Linked DNA regions of Astyanax mexicanus. The protein of the gene in region 1 interacts with the protein of each later gene in a biochemical or structural test. Links are inferred from orthologs where the notes say so. Each region holds a gene or a part of one and is shown on either strand. Other genes may lie near its edges. The genes, in order: tdrd3 and top3b.

Region 1 (11,160 bases):
GCCGAAATGCGGGAGACTCCCGCAGCTTCAGGGAGACTTGGTTTGTCTGTGATTATGATTATACTGTTATACTATTATACTATATTCCTGAAATGAATTAATTATTTTAGTTTTCCTATATCGCCAAGTATATCGTTATCGCAAAAATACCCTAAAATATCGTGAAATGATTTTAGAGCCATATCGCCCACCCCTACTTCCCACAGTCCAAAACATGGAGATCAGGTAAAATTGTATACTCTAAAATTACCCCCAATAGTTTAACGCTCTAAAGCCTTACTGGACAGAATTAGTTTCTCAGGGGCTCCTGGGGTAATTTTCTCTTCTATAGAGGGTCATTGATGATTTTATTTCCGCCTGGAACGACCATGTATGTGTTTTTCCCAGACGTTCTCTGAGAAAATTACAGGCTGAATTACCTACTGTTTTTTGCTAAACTCTGTGGTCCTCCGGTAATTTTAGTCCCGTTCGGACTGACATCTCTGAGTTTCATCACCTCTCGTTTAATAAAGTAGCTATTTGTCCACTGCCACGCACCGTAATTATACTTTGGGCATGCATTTCCACAGAGATCCACGCAAACACAACAGCAAGTGGAAAGCCAATAAAAAAGTCACTGGTCCTCCTGTTTTTAAAATTGCAGTCTGCAATTTGCAAGAGTTTTATCACTGAGTAGAAGTGGGAAATATTTTTCACAGACGTCCTCTTGAGAAACTAATCCCGTCCGGATAGGGCTTAAATTGATCTGGTATGTATGTGTTAGATATGTATGTAAGATTGTGTGTGTGAATGTATAATAAAATAATGCTGTAGTGCCCGATGCAGTCCTCCAGGTGGACGGTTGTTTTCGGTTGAGAGTACGCTGTGGGCTATTGGCTGTGGCTTTGCACTGGTGTGTGGATGATGGTTTTGTGTAAAAACGTGATTGTAAAATCTCCTTGGGTTTCTAGATATGTGTAACTTCATTTGTTCATTAAAGTCTTGCTTTCTTCAGCAGACTAATTTTTGATTTTGCATTACTAAATATTTATGCAATTATAAATTACGTTGATTCAACGTTGAAACAGCTGGGTGTCATCTTAGCAAGAGTTGCCTACTTTGAAGAATCTAAAATATTAAACATATTTTGGTTAGTTTAATACTTTTTTTGTTAAATAAATATTTCCATACGTTTTTATTTATAGTTTTTCATGATTTCAGTATTAATCTAAAATGCAGAAAATTTTTACAGTGTTTAAAAAAACACTGAATTTTAGGTGTGACCAAACTTTTGACTGGAACGATGCAGGATCCTGCTGAAGGACACGCCCCCGTCAGGTGATCAGGATACTGTGCTGAATAAAGCAAGCAGCAGCAATGTAAGCAAAGCGGAGGGATCGGTCAGGTTAAGGATATTTACTGTACAAGTCCTGACCAGACCCCGGAGCTGCTGATCAGAACCTAAGACCACCACAGACTGAGTACCTGTATCAGCAGAATGCAGCAGCGCTGACCCACAGCAGCGTCCCTCAACCGCTGGATCTGCTGCAGCTCTGAGGAAGAGGAGGAAGAGAAGGAGGAGGTGAGTAAGAGCAGCAAAGGAGCTCCATTACTGTTATTATATCAGATCTCATCTACAGCCTGCCTTCACAGCAAACTAAACCTTTAATTCTCAATAACTCTGCTAATAAATCCAGCTCAAGACTGGCTTTTACTACTATATGGTTTTAGATGGTAAAAACTGTTCAAGCCTTTATGGTAAAGATGGTAAAATTGCTAATTCTGACAAAAAAAAAAACTCTATACCCCTTACCCTATCATTTGATGCTGGTTATGCTGAGAAAATGCTGGTCATGCTGGTTGACCAACTTTGTGATGACAGTCATGATTTTTTTTATCCGGTTTGATCATGCATATACAGTGCTGTGAAGTCCCCCCCTACAGTTTTCTTTGTTTTTTATTTTGTATCATACTTAAATTTTTTAGATAAACAAACACATTTTAACATCAGACAAATATAAATATAAAAAACAGTTGATAATGTTAATTTAATGTCTTGAGAGAAAAAGTATTTGCCCCTTAAAACTAATAACTTCGTTTTTACAAAAAAAAAATCCTGTTTAAGGCCTTTATTTTGTTTTTTTACCGAGGTGGACTTGCTGGTGTGTTTGGATCATTTAAGCTTAAAGATTCAAGATTAAAGATATTTTTCTGTCACATCACAGAGTAAAGGTGTGCATGTGAGTGAAAAACTTGGGTGCAGATTCCCACCAGTGTGCAGAGAACAATATTTACAAAAAGAAGAATAAAATAAAATATAATATAAAATCAGATATACAGATACCTTTACAGTATAAACAATATACAAAGTACACTCAATAACAATACACATAATAACTTACACTATAGACAAATATTGCACAGAAATATTTTAAGTAAGACTGAATAAGTAATATACGATGCTATGTAGATGTGTGTGGAAGTGAGGAAATAGTCCATAAGGTGACAGAATAACTATGAGTAAGTGCAGGTAAGGAATAAGTTGAGTAGGAAGTACAAGGGGCAGAATGCTGTATGCATTCTGCTGCATTGTCCTGCTGCAGAACCCAAGTACACCTGAGCTTAAAGCCACAAACTGATGGCAGGACATTTTCCTTCAGGATTTCTTCTTTTACCTGTATTTAATCAGGTTATATTTGTCTTCAGTTTGTATGTCTTAAGTATGACAAAAAAGCAAAAGAAATCTGTAATGGGGCAAATACCAGACTGTAGTTCTATTTCTCTGCATACTTTATCTCACATCAACCAAATGTATTTGTAACACTTTAGAAATGGACATCAATGAGTTAATGTATAAGGGAGGGTATGTTATTTCAAAACACAGCAGATAAAAGGTATAGGATGCATTAGAAGAGAAACCACTAAAAGGGTAAGATGCATTGAGTCTTCTCATATTCCGCCTCAGCCTCTGTTAGGAGGGGAATCTGCTGCTGTTCATTGATTGTGCTCATTTGCTGTTTTTCACTGCTTTAAACTGGACACTGTATATAGCTGTATAGCAGCAGTGTATCAAACATAGCTGAGCACTTGTCTTATTTATATCCACAGATCTGCATTCCAGCAAGATGGCATTCACCCTGAGCCTCCTCGCTGCTGTTCTCATGTCTTCTGTTGTGTCTGGAAGCAGCTCGACTCAAGACCCAGTTGTGGTCCATGACCCGACTGTAGCCAAAGTAGTCAGCTTTGCCATCGACTCCCACAATCGCATGTGTAACTGTGCCTCTGCCTTTAAAGTAGTGGACATCATGTCAGACAGTGCTGAGGTAAGTTATTTAAAAACTATTAAAGCTGTTGAAAAGGGTAGTAGATCCTTAGAAGAACCATTTGGTTCTGAACCTATTTTAAAGACGTTTTGAAAGTGAAGAACATTTGAAATTGGTTAGTGACCCTTACATGGTGACCCTTAACCTTTTAACTTAACTAGTTCTGTGTTCACAGTCAAAAATAACAACATTGTTATAAATTATTTTAAATAATTTTAAAACCATAATACTGCAAATATTATGACCTAGTGTAGATAACTATAGTGACTATAATAAAATATATTAATTTAATAAATGTATACATGTGTTATATATCACAGACTCGTTTGTGTCCAAGTTTAGTTAGAATTTTTTTTTTTTAATCCATTTTAATGGATTGATCACACATTCACACACTTTCCTTTGATGCCCTCCTGTTTTAATAGGTATGTGATTTATGGACTTATTTGGAAAAATTTGTTTTGACCTCTATTGTTGTATATTTTTCTTAGCTCTATCCTCCTACTTGGGTTAAATACACCCTCAAACTGCGAGTGGCCGAGACAAACTGCAGAAACGATGGAAAAGTGAGCCTGGAGGACTGCAGCCTCAAGACTAACGCACAGGCAAGAATCTTGTCCAAATAAATCACTATTCTCCTGTGTCTATATTTTTTTAATAAACTAAAATTTGTTAATTACTTCATGTATATCTCTTTTAACAGACTATGATCTGCAGCTTCGTGGTGCTGGCAGTTCCAGGAGAGAACACGGTGCCCAGCCGTCTTCTGTCAGACCACTGTGTCTGATTAAAAAGTTTGCAGTAATTTATTCTGAGTATCAGACATTAAAGCAGCAGTCAGTATGATTATTCTGTTTTAAATTACAAGCAGTAATATTTCTGAGGTAGGAGGGGACATAATATTCTATCTTCCAGTCATGACCATCCTTGCAGTGTCTAATATATTCATTCTAAACACAGAGTGGCCTGGTAGGTTTGTTGGATGTAATTGATGTAATCTCTACATTTTGGCAATATTTTATAAATGAATAAAATAAACAAAACAATGTATTTAAAAAATGCAGAATTTCACACAACAATTTATTTCTATTCATTTGCATTAAAAGTACTCTTCCCCATGCTTTGTGCAATTACAGTTTTTCACCAGAGAGGTCTTCAAATCCCCGAAACTTGTTTGATTGTCACTTTAAGTAGACCTTATGTCACATGTGTCAAACACAAGGCCCGCGGGCCAAATGTGGCCCGCCACGTCTTTTTATGTGGCCCGCGAGAGCTTGTAAAATCTTAGTGTCTATAATAAATAGGTCAGAAGCGTTCCTTGACCAAAAAATACATTTCCCACAATGCTTGTCGATTGTATTACCCGCAAAGTTACGGCTTACTGCCACTACACGGCAGTGTAGTCATTGATGTGGAAACCCTGCCGGAGGGAAGGTGTAACTTCGCGGGTGGAATTGAGACATGTTTATCCCATAATATCCAGAAAAAGAAAAGTTGATGCAGACGGACGGCTGTGCTTCAAGGCGAAAGACCGGTATGCATTTTGTGTTACTGACCAAAATAAACGCTTTTTAGAAGAGATATAAATTATGTGTAAATATTTATAAGACAATAGCTGATAAAATCTGTTTTAATGAGGTTAATAAACATCACTGTGACATCGCTAGTCGCAGTTTCACCTCAGCAAAGGACGAGGAGGTGAATCACTTATCTAACCAGCCTTTACTGATTTCTGCCCCAATAACCCTTTCAATAACCTCCAATAGCCTTTAATAGTCTCCAGTAGCCTTCAACAGTCTAACCTTGCAGCCGTGGTGTGTTCTAAACTCCGTAGTTATAAACATCCTGAGGTTAGCAGCGCGCTAACTGACCTGTTTATAATGTAATCCGAGCAGTGACTCCGGGATGGCTGCTCTAAACTGCTGCTGTTAGCTGCTTGGGCTGAAATATGAACTGTAGAGAGCTGTATTATCCGGTTAGTGGGGTTATTTTATTTCATACACAGAAGAACTTAAAATTTTAAAAACGCTCCAGACAGGCTCAGCTGAGCCCTGTAGCCCGTGGCCGGGCTGTAGCTCTGACTCAGTAAAGACTGTGGGCTTGTGCTGCTGCAGCTCCCACTAGTGGTTGGATGAGGAAATGCTAAATCTGTCACAGCTCACAATTTTTGATTTTATATTTATTAAGCCTCTTTTCAGTATCAAACGTTTTGATCAAAGTTAATATAACTTGTATTTTATGTCATTTCTATTCACTTGTATAGTTTCGTTCTTGATTGATGGAGTTTTTGGATTTCATAACAGGATTTATGTTAATAGAGCAACAAGCAAACATTTTTTCCATGCAACTGTAATATTTGATTGAATAAATAATATATTGAGAGTTATTTAACATTAAGGAGTAATTACATTCATTTACATATATTACATTTGGTTACATTTTCTTATATTTATAAGTTACATCTGGCCCTCGGAGGACAGCCAATATGCCAATGTGGCCCTCGGCCAAAATGAGTTTGACACCCCTGCCTTATGTTATGTTGGAAGTATTGGAATGTATTGTGGATATAATGTGTTTTTATTACTATTTAAGTATTTCATGTATTTAAAGTATTTCAAATGAGTCATTATAAAAAGCCTGAACTCTTTTTGTTGGCCAGCTGAAGACCATCATTGTTGCAAAATTGCAATAAACAAAAAACAGAAGAACCAGCTTTGTCTTTCTTTTTTTATGCTTTTAGCAGGTCAGCTCTACTTCTGTACAGCCGCTGAATTCTCTGATTTGCTAGACAACATTTCTCACAAATTCCAAATAAAAATATTGTCATTTAGAGCATTTATTTGCAGAAAATTAGCAACAGCTGAAATAACAAAAAAGATTATGAGCTTTAAGGCCTCAAATAATGCAAACATTTTTATAAATTTATATGTAACATATTCATAAAGTTTTAAGAGATCAGAAATCAATATTTGGTGGAAAACCCTTTTTTTCATCACAGTTTTCACGCATCTTGTGACATGTTCTCCTCCACCAGTCTTACACACTACTTTTGGATAACATAATGCCACTACCAGTGCAAACATTCAGGCAGTTCAGCTCGATTTTTCAATTAGATTAAATCAAAGAAACGTATTATTTTTAAGTGGTCTCTTATTTTTTTTTAGAGCTGTATATATAGTAACAGTCAAAAGACTGGACACACCCTCTACCTTCTCATTGTGTATTTATTTAGTACCACAGTTTGAGAGCAATAAAGAGTAACAAAATTCCAGCTTTTTGCCCAAAAAGAGGGCATATTGTGGTCATTATAATTTAGTACTGATGCAAATAATACTTCTAGTTAAATAAATCGATATAGATATTCATTAATAAGGGGGAATTGGTACCTGTATCGAAAAAATAAATCGACTTTTATCGACTAGCCCTAGGAGCGGGTCGCGGTTTTTGCTCGTAGCCGCTCTGAACTCTGACCTGTGACGCTGAGTAAGTTTGGGACTGGTCTGTTTTTAGCGGAGAGCCGAGCGGAGAGAAGCAGAGCGGAGAGAAAAGCATGGAAAAGCGGCTGCGGCTCAGATAATCACATGCTGCAGTCTAACCGCGCGCTGGAAGATGTCTGAGCTGAGCGCGGCTCTCGGGAGAGAAGGCTGGTGGGTAGCGGCTCGGGGCTAGCCTGCCTGCTGGGGCTGGCGGGATGCTAAGCTAATGCTAGCGGCGGAGCTTCGAATAGGGTACCTGAGCTAGGCTAGGCTAAAGCTAGCTAAGCTATGCTAGCTTTCAGAGTTTATCAGTGTTTTATTGCTGGTTGAGAAAAAACGGTTCATTAACGCCGTATTAATGTATTTACATCTATAGACCAGTAGATACCACCTGTTTAAACTCTGTAATTAGCGCTAATTATTTATATTATTCGCTTACTGAGCTCCTAATAAATGTTTAATTCAGCTAGCGTTAGCTGTGGAGTAGCTAAGCTAAGCTAACCTAGCTAAACAGCTAGTTAAGTATCACCACAGTGTTCAGCTTCTGCTGGCGGTTTATCTGTTTCAGACTCTGTAGTTCATATTTTATAATGATTCACAGTGTTTATTCACTATTCTGATATCTAAATAAATATCTAACTCATCTAACTACAAATAACTGCAGAATAGGTTTTAGCTACATTATCTAGTTAAATTTCAGGCTGATTTATGGTGATGCATTAATGCTGGGAAAGGTTGAGTCTAAATAAAAGCTTATAATTACAATTTAAAGTTGTATTTTTGTTTTTGTGGTGTATTGAAGTACAAAAAAAATAATATTTAAGGACAAAATCCTTTCCCACAGATTAGTTAATAGTTCATTTAGTTTTTATTTGTTTATGTATTTTACAGTATCGCCCAGCCCTATTTGAGCCATTTCATGAACATAAATTTTCTTATTTTTCCTTATTTAAAAATCTTTATTTCATTCTTGTTGAACTGAACCTGGCCTACCTGAACTTTCTGAACAGTACCCTACACTGTGTCATTCAGGCTGATGTGCATATTTTAAAGTGTGTGTTTGGAAATTCATTTTTTATGTGTTATTAGTTAAAGCAATTGTTGTCTTTTTGCATTTATTTAGGGATACAAACTTTTCCCACAGTTTCAATGAATTGTTCCTTCATTTAAAATGTATTTATGTATTCTTACAATATCGCCCTGGCCTATTTGAGCCATTTTGTGAACATAGATATTTTTGCCATCTTTAAAATCTTTTTTCAAAAATGTAAATCCTGTTAAAATGAACCTAAATGGCACCACCTGAACTTTCTGAACAGTATCCTACACTGACTCCAAGCTGATGAACGTATTTTAAAGAGTGTGTCTGATAATGTGTTTTTTGTATATCATTACAGCCACTCCTTTTAAGTGTGACCTGGGCTGTGATTTGTGTTAAAGTCAGAGCTATATTCATATTGGCTTTCATATCACACACTGCATAGATAGACATCTGACACGTCTGTTGTTTGTATGTAAGAGACACCAACATCCCTGTCATCCAAACTTTATCACCATCAAACTTATGAGTATCAGCAACTGGAACATTACAAAGGCTTACAACACAAAGGCTTACAACATTTACGAAAGCATGATAGCTATCCAGTCATAAAAATCTATTTACAGATACCAGTGCAGACATTAGTGCATGGTGCCTTTCCCCATGAAGAACTGGGGTACCGGTTTAACACAAGGAAATATTTCTAAATTAACCCAAAATGTCTGTTCTTCATGAATTGTTCATGAAGTATCTGCAAGTGTAAATAGATCTGTAATTAATGTGGCTCTTCATAATTTATATAAGGCACTTATCTAAAATGCAGTCCATCCACCTGCAACAGGCAAAGATTAAGTGATATCTCTTTTCTCTGTGTGCTATGCTAATACACAAAGTGTAGATTAGCACCGTATCAGTTTGTGCCATTAGAAAGTATGTGAGTTCTTCTGTCTAATTGTGCTTGCATGTTTAGTAATGGACCTAATCTAGGTCACAGTAAGTCCAGGGCATTCATTCAGTATTCATTTAGTTGGAAACTGGTTGAAATAATAAAAAAAAAATCTCTCTCTCTATATATATATATATATATATATATATATCTTAATTGTAAACTTGTTAACCTTCATTGAATCTGTCTTTAGCACTGTTGGCTTTATAAATGTTGGTCTTCTTCAACCATGTTAGGAGTTTATATATCATATCATATTTCATTTGCTCCCTCTTTAGGCCTCAGGGGATGTATTGGTCATTTCTGCAGCATCTCTTAAAAAAAATCTGTGTGTATGCAGGCGTAATATATTAAAAGTACAGCTTACATCACAATATATATATGATCAATATTTATTTTAATACATGTGAATACAGTCAATGCAGTCAATGACTGATCCTTAAAAACACTGTTCAGACAAGTTCTATATATTTTTTTTTTTTCCAAATATTTACTGCGATTCATCCAGTTAAACAGGATTAACTATGCTCTTTAATTAAATGCACAGTTGGGTCAGTGATTTGCACTGAGCTTATTGTTAATGTGGTAAGAAAATGTATCACAATACGATCAAATATTGTCAGATTACCCAACTCTGAGATATATAAATCCTAGAGATATTAATCCTTGTCTAGCAACACAGCATACATAAATATAATTTTGGTGAGTTGAATTTATGCGTTTTTATTTAGGTATCTCACAGAGGAAGGGATAGAAGAGTGCAAAAGCTCGGAGAAAGAGAAAGTGACCGTCACTGACATCATCAATGTAGCATTAAATGTAAGTAGGCCTGTTACAATAATTCCGTTATCAACTTAAATATTATATGGACATAGCCATAGAGCCCATTATCATGAATTAGTTGCTTTGTTGACTTTGTTTTTAAACAGTGTTTTTTTGTATTTTATTTAATAAGAATATTTAAGCATTTTTATTTTTGCTGTTTTTTATGTATTGTGTAATTGTATTATTATGGTATTATCATTATATTAGTAGCTTAAGACTGTTTATAGTAACATTGTTTATCCCACTAATTTCTGAAATATCATATTGTATGACAAGATATATTGTGACAAGTGTACCTGTACGGTTTGTTATGGAAATGTTTTTATATATTATGTAATTTCCAAAAACATACATTATGATTGTTTTCTGCAGAGCGATCTGAGGCCTATTGGAAAGAGCTTTCTGCCTGCTGACATCAACAGTGGCAGAGTAGAGAAGGTAATTTCACAGGCACTTTCACATGTTGGCCACTGGATGACTCTATAAGCACACTCTTAGGGAAGGATAAAGTCAAGCACTAAAAGAGACTGGGTGATTTGTGTAAGCCTCTATTTTTCCTCCCTGTTTGATTGTGTAAAATTACAGGAAATAAATGTCTTTAATTGAAACCTGTTTAACTTCTTTTTCTAGTTTTAGAAACAAACTGTAAACACAGCTGAAATGTCTGAATTGTTCAGTCACAAAAACAGCATTATTCCTGTGTAGGACAATTGTAGTAACTATAATGATTTTTTTCTCCACAGTTGGAGGGGCCATGTGTCCTTCAAATCCAGAGGATTCGAAATGTTTCCGCCCCAAAAGAAAATGAAGACTCACAGGCTGCACCTCGAATGCTCCGCCTCCAGATGACTGATGGGCAGACCATGTGCACAGGGCTTGAATTTAAACATCTGTCAAAAATCAGGTAAAACCATTCTGAGATAATCCCAGAGATAATCCGTTTCAGCAAATCCTGGATATCTGATAGTTGTGTCTTACACTTACTTTGACCTTTTGAAAGTTGTGATTGTGTGTATCTGTGTCTGTGGTTGAAGGGCTGGATAAATGGTATATATAGATCTTTATCGTAACACAATATTTAAAGCCATTTCACACTATACAATATTTATTTACATATATGTGGTTGCAGTAAAATGCATTAGTAGTGATACATCTTTTAAAACACTATTCTAATGTATTTACCATTAATTTTACTCAAAATATACCACCATCCATCCAGTTGAACTGGACTTATGTTCTCAATAATGAAAGTAACAAAGTGTACTGTAAGTCCTGATATCCTCAAAATGTATATACTCAAAAGTATATAGTTATATAGGTATATATAGTTGATACACTTCTGAATTTTAGCATGATATAATGAAATATCTTCATATTGCCACCTCTTGAAAATTTTAATAATATATACTTAGTAAAACACTAATCAGAATAACACAAATACCATTCATACAAAATTTGTGATTTTTTATATGTGTTCAATAAAACATTTCCAAAGTTCTGCTCATGGACGTCAAGTATTATTACTAAATATCATCATGTCAGCAGCACCTGGTTTGTTTAATCAGTGTTTAT
Region 2 (10,554 bases), on another chromosome or scaffold:
AAATACCCTGAAATATCGTGATATTATTTTAGAGCCATATCGCCCACCCCTACTAAGCACCACCATTGTCAGTGGTATTAACACTGAAATACATATGAATAGGAAGGACCATAACCATCGGTTCAGTTTAATTGACACAGTAATCAAAAAAAAAAAAAAGTGTTAGTCACTTTTGAAAATGTTAAATGCCATAACAAAGCATAACAAAGCATTTGTACCATTTTTAAGTAATGTCCAAGTAGTGTACCGTAAGTCGATAATGTAATGTGTTACACACGGTCATAATAACTACTGCACTAAACCCTACTAATGGCCATGGAGCACCAAGGCACGAAACATCTCATCACACAGCAGAGAGACAGTAGAGAAGTAAATGAAGGGGTGAATAAGTGAAAGTGCAGCAGGAGGACGATTAGGAATCTGCTTATGCATCCTTCCCATCCATTCACATTTTATCCATCCCCACCTCCCTCACTTACTCCCTTCCTCTACTCTAAACTCAAGAGGTGAATGACGATGGCTGGTGGTTGCTGGTTGACTAGTGACGGCCATGTCACCCAAGGTCGTGCTTTCATTTGCACATGAGGGATAATTGCGAGGGGTGGGGGGCTGTGACATGACGTATTGGTACTGGGGTAACAGAGCGACGCCATATGCCCCCACTCTTCAGCTCAGGTGAATAAATACAGGCTCAGGAGAAGGAGGAGGACACCTCACCAGCTTCATCCACCAGCTGCCCTCCTGCCTGCTCATTACCTGCTCCACCGCTATCTGCAGCTACACTACCCAACAGTATGCAACAGCTACAGGTCAGTCTTTCGCAGAGTGCTCCCTCTGGGTGCCTGAGGTACTGAGGTAATGGAAATTAGTGTTTTTTTTATGATCTTTATATGCACTAAATTTAACTTAGGGTTAAACTTCAAACTGCTGTATTCTCCAGGACGGGACACTGACACCTCTGGTCCAGAAGATGGGGTTACAGATTATGATTAAAAATATGTAGACATCTAAAATTAGTTATGAGAACTTAATTAAGAGAAAGTGTTATAAATACATAAATACAATTTGGTATGCAGGATAGTTTAGATTTAAATTGAACTTTCAAGGTGCTTTAGACCCTTCAAACTTTTTTTTTTTTTTTTTTACTCCAGCACAAGGTCCCCGCAGACCTCTCTCTGCGCTACTACTGCTTGTCAGAGTGCTGTGACATACAATGCAGGAGTGTGGGAGAGAGCAGACAGAGAGAGCCAAAAAAAAACTGCTGCTTTAAGTTCATTTTTATACTGTACTCACATGAATGGAGACAAAAAGGAGTTCTCAGCATCACATATTAGGCTTCAAATTTCATCAATTTCAGTTTGCACAAGTAACTACCTCTATACAAACTGTATGTTAGGGTAGTAATCATAGCTGAGTAAATTGGCTTTAGATGTCATAGAAATCTGACTTGAGTAGCACAGAGATCAATTTCTACTGAGGTAAACTTGTGACTAAATTGTACTGCTGGGATAAATATATAATAAAATAGCCTGCCACTATGATCAGGAGATCGCTGGTTTAAATCCAGTTCATGTAGCTTGCCATAGTCTTGTGTTGTGCCCTGAGAGAGCACAACTGGCTTTGCTCTCTCTTGGTGTGTACAGTAGTTGGTGCTCTTTCCCCTCATCACTTCAAAGGGTGATGTTGTTTAGCACAAGGCTGCATCTGTGAGCTGATGTATCAGAACCAAGTCAATGCGCTTTCCTCTGAACGCCATGTGATGCTACTCGGCAATGCTGACACATTTAGGCAGTTCAGTTTTAGGCTGTTTTAGAACATTGTGGAAAAACTGACAAATATAATGAAAGTCAAATGTTGCATTTTGTTCAATTTTAATTTTGGTGTTTTTATGGCATCACTTAAAGAACTTGATGTGATATTATTATCAAAAGCTGTGCCTATAAGGTTAAAGCTAAGGTAACGTTAATGATTGAACACCTATCTCAGGCTAAATGTTAGCCAAAAAATGAATACCAACAGAATGATATATAATTTTATGATTATGAAATCTAGGAATTATTGTTATCTGCAACCTCACAGTGTTTCTTTTTTTGTCTCTCTCTCTCTCTCTCTCTCTCTCTCTCTTTCTCTCTCTCTTTCTCTCTCTCTCAGCTCCTGGGTTTTCTCACCCTGACTCTTCTGGTGTTAAACCCGAGTCAGTGCAGTCCCATCGGGGAACAGTGTGCAATGCAGCCGGGCTTCTCCTCCATCAGTATCGTCAATCTGAACAGTCTGGAGAAATACGATGCTGAAGTTACCTACCAGCCCAACAGACTCAATGAGCGCAGCCTGGCTGCATGGGAATATGTGTGAGTATTAGAATTACAGTCTGACTTTATTAGCTGCTAGCTATGCATTTTTAATCTTATCCCTAAAACATACTGGTTAATAAATTCTGTAACATAATTATAGATACAGTAGCTTGTACAACCACTTTTAGAGTAGGGATGCACAGAATATAGTAAATAGTGAGCAGTGCAACACTAGTGCACTTTCCCTCCAGTTTCACCCACTCGAACACAGTTCCACTGCTTCACAGATCAATGCTGTAGGCATTACACACTCTAGCCAACGCCTGGCTCATGGTTCATGTTTATCTGCTCTAGAGATTCTATTCTATCGTCAGCATCTCAAAAGTGTATGTCTGTGTGAGCAATTTGCGCATCTTAAAGTAGCTGAATCACTAGAGGTGATTGGTCCCCTATAGTGGTCCCTGTCCTGTCACTCATTTGTTTTATGCACAGAAAAATATTCTGTAAAATTGGGAAGCAAATTTTATGGAGCTAATTTTGTGCTGAATGTTTTACTCAAAAATATTTTAAAATTAAAATAGTAGATTATATATATATATATATATACATATATATATATATATATGTATATATATATATATATATATATATGAGCAAAAAATGAAGCAGAAGACATTATCTGCAAATTCCACAAAAACACAAAAATAAAAGCAAAAACTGTCAAAATTCAAACACAAATAACTTTCAAATGACTGCAAAGACTAATAAAGTAACCAATTATATTTAGAAATATATTTTTATGTTTTGAATTTGCAGAATACACTTTTTAATTTATTTTTTTATGTAAATCTTTTGGCACAAAATTAACTCCATAGATTTTTTAAAATAAGTGTTTGAACATGATGTGACTGATGAAATAATACTTGGCCCCTCTATAAATATTGTGGCCCCAGAAAAATCCAAGATCCACCATAGAGCTGAATGCATTCACTAGAAGGAGTGTCCACAAACTATTGGACATACAGTATAATGCAGTATAAAACACTCTGACTGCTTCTACTGTTTTGTGTTTTTGATTTATAGGGAAGTGAATACAGACGTGAACCGGGTGCCTCAGGTCATCTATGAAGCTCGATGCCTCACAACTCACTCCTGTAACGGGGTGGACAGCACGTCCAGCGTGGAGAGCGTCCCCCTGTCTTTTAGAATGCCTGTTCTCCGGAAGCACACAGGATGCCCGTTCTACTCCATTGAGTTTGAGTCAATTACCGTTGCCTGTATATGTGCCACATCCAGAAAAAACTAGCCTAATAAAAACTGCCTGTTAGCTTATTATTACTTATTATAATTATTTATTATTTATAGTTACTATTAGACATTTCTGTTGCTGTTCATGTTCCCTGCACCAACAACCAGCTGTTTCAGATCTACCTATTTATTTTCACAATCAACACCATCCGGAATGCTTGTGTCAGTTCAGTGATACCCTGCAGAAAGCTTGAAAATATTAATGAATAAAGAGTTTATTACAAATTCTTAATAAGATTTATTTATTTTTTTTGTACTTTTTTTCCCATAACTATCAAGAATCTATAAAGAAATGTTTATACTACTAGAACTACATAAGCCTGTCAGATTAACTTTTTGTCTTGACAATATATTGTTCAAGAGATAATTGTGATAAATTAAATAAAAATAATAGCATGACAATGTAAAAAGAGCTATTAACTTTTAAATGTCAAACAATGCTAAAAAAATGTGTAAATCAAATTAACTAAAAAAATGAGTATTGTAAAAATGATATATTTTTTTAAAAAGAGGAGGTTATTTTAGCAAACAACTGGTTAATTTTTTCTTTAGAGAAATTACAGATGAAGCCAGAGAGCGGTAAGTACTGTTTTCTACACCTTCAAAAAACTCAGGGAGACGTCTGGCTGACCCACATGGAAACAGCTTTAGACTTTAGCTCTGATTAACATGACTGGACTAAGTTGAATTAGAGGTCTGACAGGTAAAGAGCAGTAATTAGGTCATTGATAAGATGAGGAAAAAAAAACATAAATAAACTATATTGCCCGTTAGGGGTGGGCGATATGGCTCTAAAATAATATCACGATATTTCAGGGTATTTTTGCGATAACGATATACTTGGAGATATAGGAAAACAGAAAAATAATTAATTCATTTCAGGAATATAGTATATAAGAGTATAACAGAATAATCATAATGTGGTAAAATAAATAATATAGCATAAAATAATATAATTCAGCAAATAATATTGCAGAACATTTAGTGCATGCATATAAACTGCAAACTAAAACAATTATACAATAAATAACGTTACACCTAAAGCTTCACAGTAAATAATAGACTACTTTTAAGACACAGAATATCACGATATTTTTGTATCACAATATATTGTACATTATATAATATTGCCCGTAAATGTATAATTTAGTAAAACGTATTTAGAAAAGAGGGTAACGTTAAGTTAGCTAGCTAACTAGAGAAGTTATAGCTGGCAAGCTAACTTAGTTAAAAACTAGGAATACTAGCTAGTTAAATAACTTTAAATAAATCTGTTAAACCATGTTCAAACAAAGCTTAGTCCGCTTTCTGGAAGATTCTGGTGTCTTCCCGCTGTAGAAAACCCTTCCTGTGAGTAAAATACTGAATAATTAACGTTATCTAACCTATCTATAATAACTGCGATAGCTCTATGTTATATTTCTTTACCTTTAGAAAGGATCTTGGCTATTGACTGAGCCAGGGAGGGCTTCTCAGCCACCATCAGTACCGTCCTCATCTCTGCGCTGCTGCTGCTGCTTTTCCCGCGTAATTATATAATTATTGTTAATTGAACACAACCAGCTGCTTTCTCCCAAAAATAATAAACTATATTAATATAATAAACATTCTCTACAAAGAGCCAAACTGCAGCCTAGTGACGCCCAGAGCAAGACTTTCAACATCCGGGTTACGGCGTAACAAAATAAAAGTTTTAGTGAGTTGTTTAAATTACACATTACATTTTTTTTGTTTTTAATAGTAGTAGTAGGAGTAGTATGTATGAATGTAGACCACTGAAGAGACTGAAGGATGGGAATGGATTTTTTTTTCTTTCATTGTGAATATGTAAGGACAAATGTTTTAAAAATGTATATAATTACATTATTTGTTGAACTATTTTTTTTTCCATTTTTTTATAATAATAATAATAATAATAATAATAATAATAATTAATGTATTGGTAGAATGAGTATGTACAAATGACTAATTTACAAAAAACAATTAAATTGTTTATTATTTTATCATTCCTATTTCTCTTCAGGTTGTGTATGTATTTGCAAAACTATAATAATAATAATAATAATAATAATAATAAAGTTTTAAAAGGTTAAACCCTTTCAGACTTGAATTATGATTAAGTGATGGAAAAATGTAAGTATGCTATTTTTTGCCTGTGATAAACCCAAAAGAAGTCTCTAATATCCTCAAATAAACTGTATTTAAATATTAAACCCAATTAACTAAATATTTTATTGCTTTTTTAATGCCTTTTGCACTGGAGTCCTGTGCTTAACATTTTATTTGATATGTGAAAATGATAAACCGTTTATTTTAAAAACCATCCCTAATCCTAAATAAAAAGAGCTATAAATCACATAAAATAATCAAAGACAGAGCTGTCATGCCATAATGTCTGCGTGTTTCTTTTGTGCAGTTGGCTACTGTTTAATTGTCTTATAAACTTTTTTTATTGGCTGGTTGATGGTCTATACGGATGAACAATATGTCTCAATTAGTGTTGTGTGCAACAAAACATCTTTAAAATATGTAATGTCCATTGTAATGGTCGCAAAGTTTTTTGAGAATTATCCATGCAATGATATTTTGTAAAATATTTTAATATTATATTATTATTTATAAAGGCTCATCAGGGGCCAATCAAACCGCTTTATACGGAGAGTGGCGGTGGCGGGTTGCCGCCGATAGGTGGCAGCACGGTACCGGTCTCAGCGCTGACTGCATATCCTCTCAGAAACCTGAACAGCGGAGTGTCGGCAAACCACGGGTACCACAGCAAAACACAACACATAAAAAACACATAAACTACATATTTAATTCAATTTAACACACTTATTTTACCTTAAACACCTTACACTAATTTTCCTGCCGCTCTGTGTGGCTTAAGGTGGCTTTTAACTTGGTAAATGGCGTTGGTAAAAGGCTAATCTGAGATACTTAGCTAAACAAACAGTAACTATACTCTCTAGGTTAGCTAGCTAGTCAGCTAACGTTAACTGTTATTTTTAGATAAAACAAGTAAATTGCTAAATTACACTGAATTTATCTATTTTAATATTGAATTTAAGTTTCTATTATTACCTATACGACAGGTAAAACAGTTTAAAACTAAACATATCTGCACAAACTTATAAAACTCGTGAAATCCGTGGTTGTATCGTTAGCCTAATTTAGCTTAAATTGCTAATGAGGTTCCAGCTAGTAGTTTAATTTGTTAACTTTTAGTGTTATCTGATTTAGGCATACTTACCTTTTTACTGCTTTTAAATGCACTTCAGTCAATAATCTTAAGTTATTTCCAGATATTCAGTAATTAATTATTTTTGTGTTCTGTATTTTAGCTAATAAAAGGCTCATAAAGTAGGCCTGTATATCAGAAAATGAAATGACTCAAGTAGAAGAAATATAAATTAGTTATATAGTTTTTTAGAAACAGGAAACACAATACAGGGAAAAAATAGTATCTACAATAAATACCTAATTAAATATTAGTGATGCACAAAATTGGAAATTTGAAATATACAGCTCTGCAAAAAAAAAAAAAAAAAAAAGAGGGGTTTCTTTGATTTTACCAAATTAAAAATCTCTGGAATATAATTAAGAGGAAGATGGATGATCACAGTCCTCTAACCAAGCTGAACTGCTTGAATTTTTGCACCAGGAGTAAAGGCAAAAGTTATCCAAAAGCAGTGTGTAAGACTGGTGGAGGAGAACATGCCAAGATGCATGAAAACTGTGATTAAAAACAAGGGTTAATCCACCAAATATTGATTTCTGAACTCTTAAAACTTTATGAATATGAACTTGTTTTCTTTGCATTATTTGAGGTCTGAAAGCTCTGCATCTTTTTTTGTTAATTTGACCATTTCTCATTTTCTGCAAATAAATGCTCTAAATGACTATTTTTTATTTGGAATTTGGGGGAAATGTTGTCTGCAGTTTATAGAATAAAACAACAATGATCATTATACTTAAACATATAAATATGAACAGTTAAATGGGAGAAACTGATTCAAAAACTGAAGTGGTATCTTATTTTTTTTCTAGAGCTGTAACTACAGTACCAGTCAAAACCGTGGACACCTCTTCTCTCGTTCAATGTGTTTTCTTGCTTTTTATTTATTTCTCACATTGTAGATTAATATTAAAGACATGAAAACAATTAAGGGACACATATAGAATTATGTAGTAAACAATAAAAAGGTGTTATTACTCCACATTAATCCCCTGATCTAAACCTGATGATCAGCGATGGTGATTTGAGGTGATTGAGTTGAGATGAGCTGGAGCTTCACAGCGTGAAGGAAAAGCAGCAACTATTGTTCAGCACCTCCAGGAACTCCTTCCTTCAAGGTGCTGAGAAAACTATTCCAGGTGATTCTCCCTCATGAAGAAACTGAGATTAAAATACCAAGGGTGCGCAGATCTGAACTCAAAGATAAATATAAATAAATATGTAGTCTTCAGTATTAAATTTACAAAGTAAAAAAATCATAAAAAGTAAGAAAACGCATTGAATGAAAAGAGGTGTGTCCAAACTGTTGACTGGTACACTAAAAAAATTATACTATTTTGAAAATACAGAAATTTATATCAGATTCTCCTGATCCAACATGAAATGATAAAAATGCACTCTGTATATTAAAGATTAGTAACATAAATTATATCAGGCAGATACTGTATATTCTGCCTCTAATTTACATGTATCATGAAAAGTAGTAAATTTTCAGCATAATGAGTATGATATAATTTGTTTGAATGTCATTGGACATCCTGCTCTACTGTGCATGCACACATTGCAAAATTACTGCTGAAATTATATATAGCTCTGGAAATAACTAAGAGACCACTTCAGTTTCTGAATCAGTTTCTCTGATTTAGTTTTTATAGTCATATGTTTGAGTAAAATTACCATTGTGGTTTTATTCTATTAACTATGTACAACATTTCTCCCAAATTTCAAATAAAAAAGTCGTTTAGAGCATTTATTTACAGAAAATGGGAAATGGTTGAAATAACAAAAAGATGCAGAGCTTTCAGTCCTTAAATAATGCAAAGAAAACAAGTTTTAAGAGTACAGAAATCAATATTTAATGGAATAACACTGGTTTTAATCACAGTTTTCGTGCATCTTGGCATCATGTTCTCCTCCACCAGTCTTACACACTGCTTTTGGATAACTTTATGCCTTCACTCCTGGTGCAAAAATTCAAGCGGTCCAGCTTGGTTTGATGGCTTGTGATCATCCATCTTGATCTTTATTATATTCCAGAGGATTTTAATTTGGTAAAATCAAAGAAACTCATCATTTTTAAGTGGTCTCTTAAATTTTTACAGAGCTGTATGAGTTGTCCAGCCCTTCTAAATACTGTAAAGAACTGCACTGAAGCTTTTAAATACATTCAGCATGTGTAAGCTACAGCAAAGCAGTACAGGTGCTTTCATTGTTACATAATGAAATTTGAATTTGAATAATAGTAAGGATTCATCTTAATTGTTTCAATGTTTAAATTAGTAAAATATTGATTGTTTTTGTCTGAGATATATAGTATTTGATGTAAAAGTATTATCATTCTGAAAACACAGTAAAGGACAAGCCAATAAGAAAATCGTCTTATAGTTATTTACGTTAATTGAAGTTCAGACTGTGAAAGACAGAAATAAAAACTAGAAGTCTTAAAATATGGATAAGATTTTTTTTTTAAAGATTTTTGCTAAATAAAAATAAAATAATGAAAATAATAAAACAATTTACACTTTTCTTTTATTATTTTCGAATTCTGCCTTATATGGCAAGACAAAGCATTATACTGACCTTGCTGAACCAACAAACTGCTTGACTGCTACACTTTTAAAATAAAATAATATAGTAAAGAAGAACATTTAAACCTTGTAAAATGTTAATGTGTTAAGCTTCTCTACCAATTTAAAGCAGTGAGAAAGAGAAGGAGAAAGAAAGAGAGAGAAAGAGCACGGTGGTGGAGGTGGAGGTGAGTCATGGTTAGTGTAAGTGACTGATCTATGGCCTGCGGTTCATCAGTATTCCACGCTGATGCGCAACTCATACACACCTCACACACCACAGAGACAGTGCGAGAGCATCCTCAGCACAGGTGGGCTCAGTGCTCTGAAATGAACAGGGATGAGTGTGTGGAAACGAAAAAGAGAGGATCTGAAAAATAGATAAATAACAGAATTACACAATTAGAAATCAAAGCAATACCCAGCTGTCACATGACTGTGTGTGTGTGTGTGTGTGTGAGAATAATAGGACCTGTGTAGCGGAAAATATGCTTTGTCAGAGGTATCCAAACGACGACAGACGGAGGCAACAGAACTACCTCTCTCTCTCTCTCTCTCTCTCTCTCCCTCTCCTTTTCTCTCTCTCTCTCTCCTTCTTTTCATTTCCCTCTGCATTATCCTTCCTTTTCTTATATCTCACTCTTTCCACACTATCTATTTCTTTCTTTCATTCATATTTTTCATCAGCTGCTTTTTCTCTATTTCTCAGTGTTCTCCTTTTTTTATTTTGTCTGTCTTTCTCAGTGTTTGTTTCTCTTTTATCTCCACATCTCTCTCTTTATCTTCATCTGTCCTCTTTCTATCTTTCATGCTCTCTTTAATGCTCTCTCATGCTCTCTTTCTTTCACACACCATATCTCTGTTCACCCTCTTTTGCTTTTTCTTTTAATTTTTTTACTTTCTCTCATTTTTTCACTACTCTTTTCCTACTGCTCTATCTATTTTGCATTCTTCTTTCTTTTTCATTCACTCTCTCTTTTCTCTCCATTCTCTCCCTCACTCTACCCCTGCCATCTATCTTACTCTCCATTCTCTCCCTCCATTTCTCACCTTTTCTCCACTCGTTTGTTTCTGTCGGTGTCTCTCGGTTTCTCTGCATTCTTTTCCTCACTCTGTCCCACCTCTCTCTCTCTCTCTCTCTCTCTCTCACAGA

Evidence for each region.
Region 2: the proteins of tdrd3 (region 1) and top3b form a complex in vitro, tested with the Homo sapiens proteins (2 studies listed by BioGRID and IntAct, with this or other methods). The link is inferred for Astyanax mexicanus from reciprocal best matches to the Homo sapiens genes TDRD3 and TOP3B.

Annotation. Positions count from the first base shown.
Region 1 is NC_064423.1:31,790,237-31,801,396, reverse strand, and holds the start of tdrd3 (tudor domain-containing protein 3), read left to right. Parts: upstream 1-6,762; 5' UTR 6,763-6,911; coding exon 6,912-6,949; intron 6,950-9,494; coding exon 9,495-9,582; intron 9,583-9,960; coding exon 9,961-10,026; intron 10,027-10,331; coding exon 10,332-10,492; intron 10,493-11,160. Other genes in the region: uncharacterized protein zgc:194981, read left to right, coding at 3,105-3,302, 3,794-3,907, 4,006-4,089. UniProt on the Homo sapiens protein: Scaffolding protein that specifically recognizes and binds dimethylarginine-containing proteins. Plays a role in the regulation of translation of target mRNAs by binding Arg/Gly-rich motifs (GAR) in dimethylarginine-containing proteins.
Region 2 is NC_064429.1:30,941,156-30,951,709, reverse strand, and holds the start of top3b (DNA topoisomerase 3-beta-1), read right to left. Parts: upstream 5,273-10,554; 5' UTR 5,098-5,272; coding exon 5,028-5,097; intron 1-5,027. UniProt on the Homo sapiens protein: Releases the supercoiling and torsional tension of DNA introduced during the DNA replication and transcription by transiently cleaving and rejoining one strand of the DNA duplex.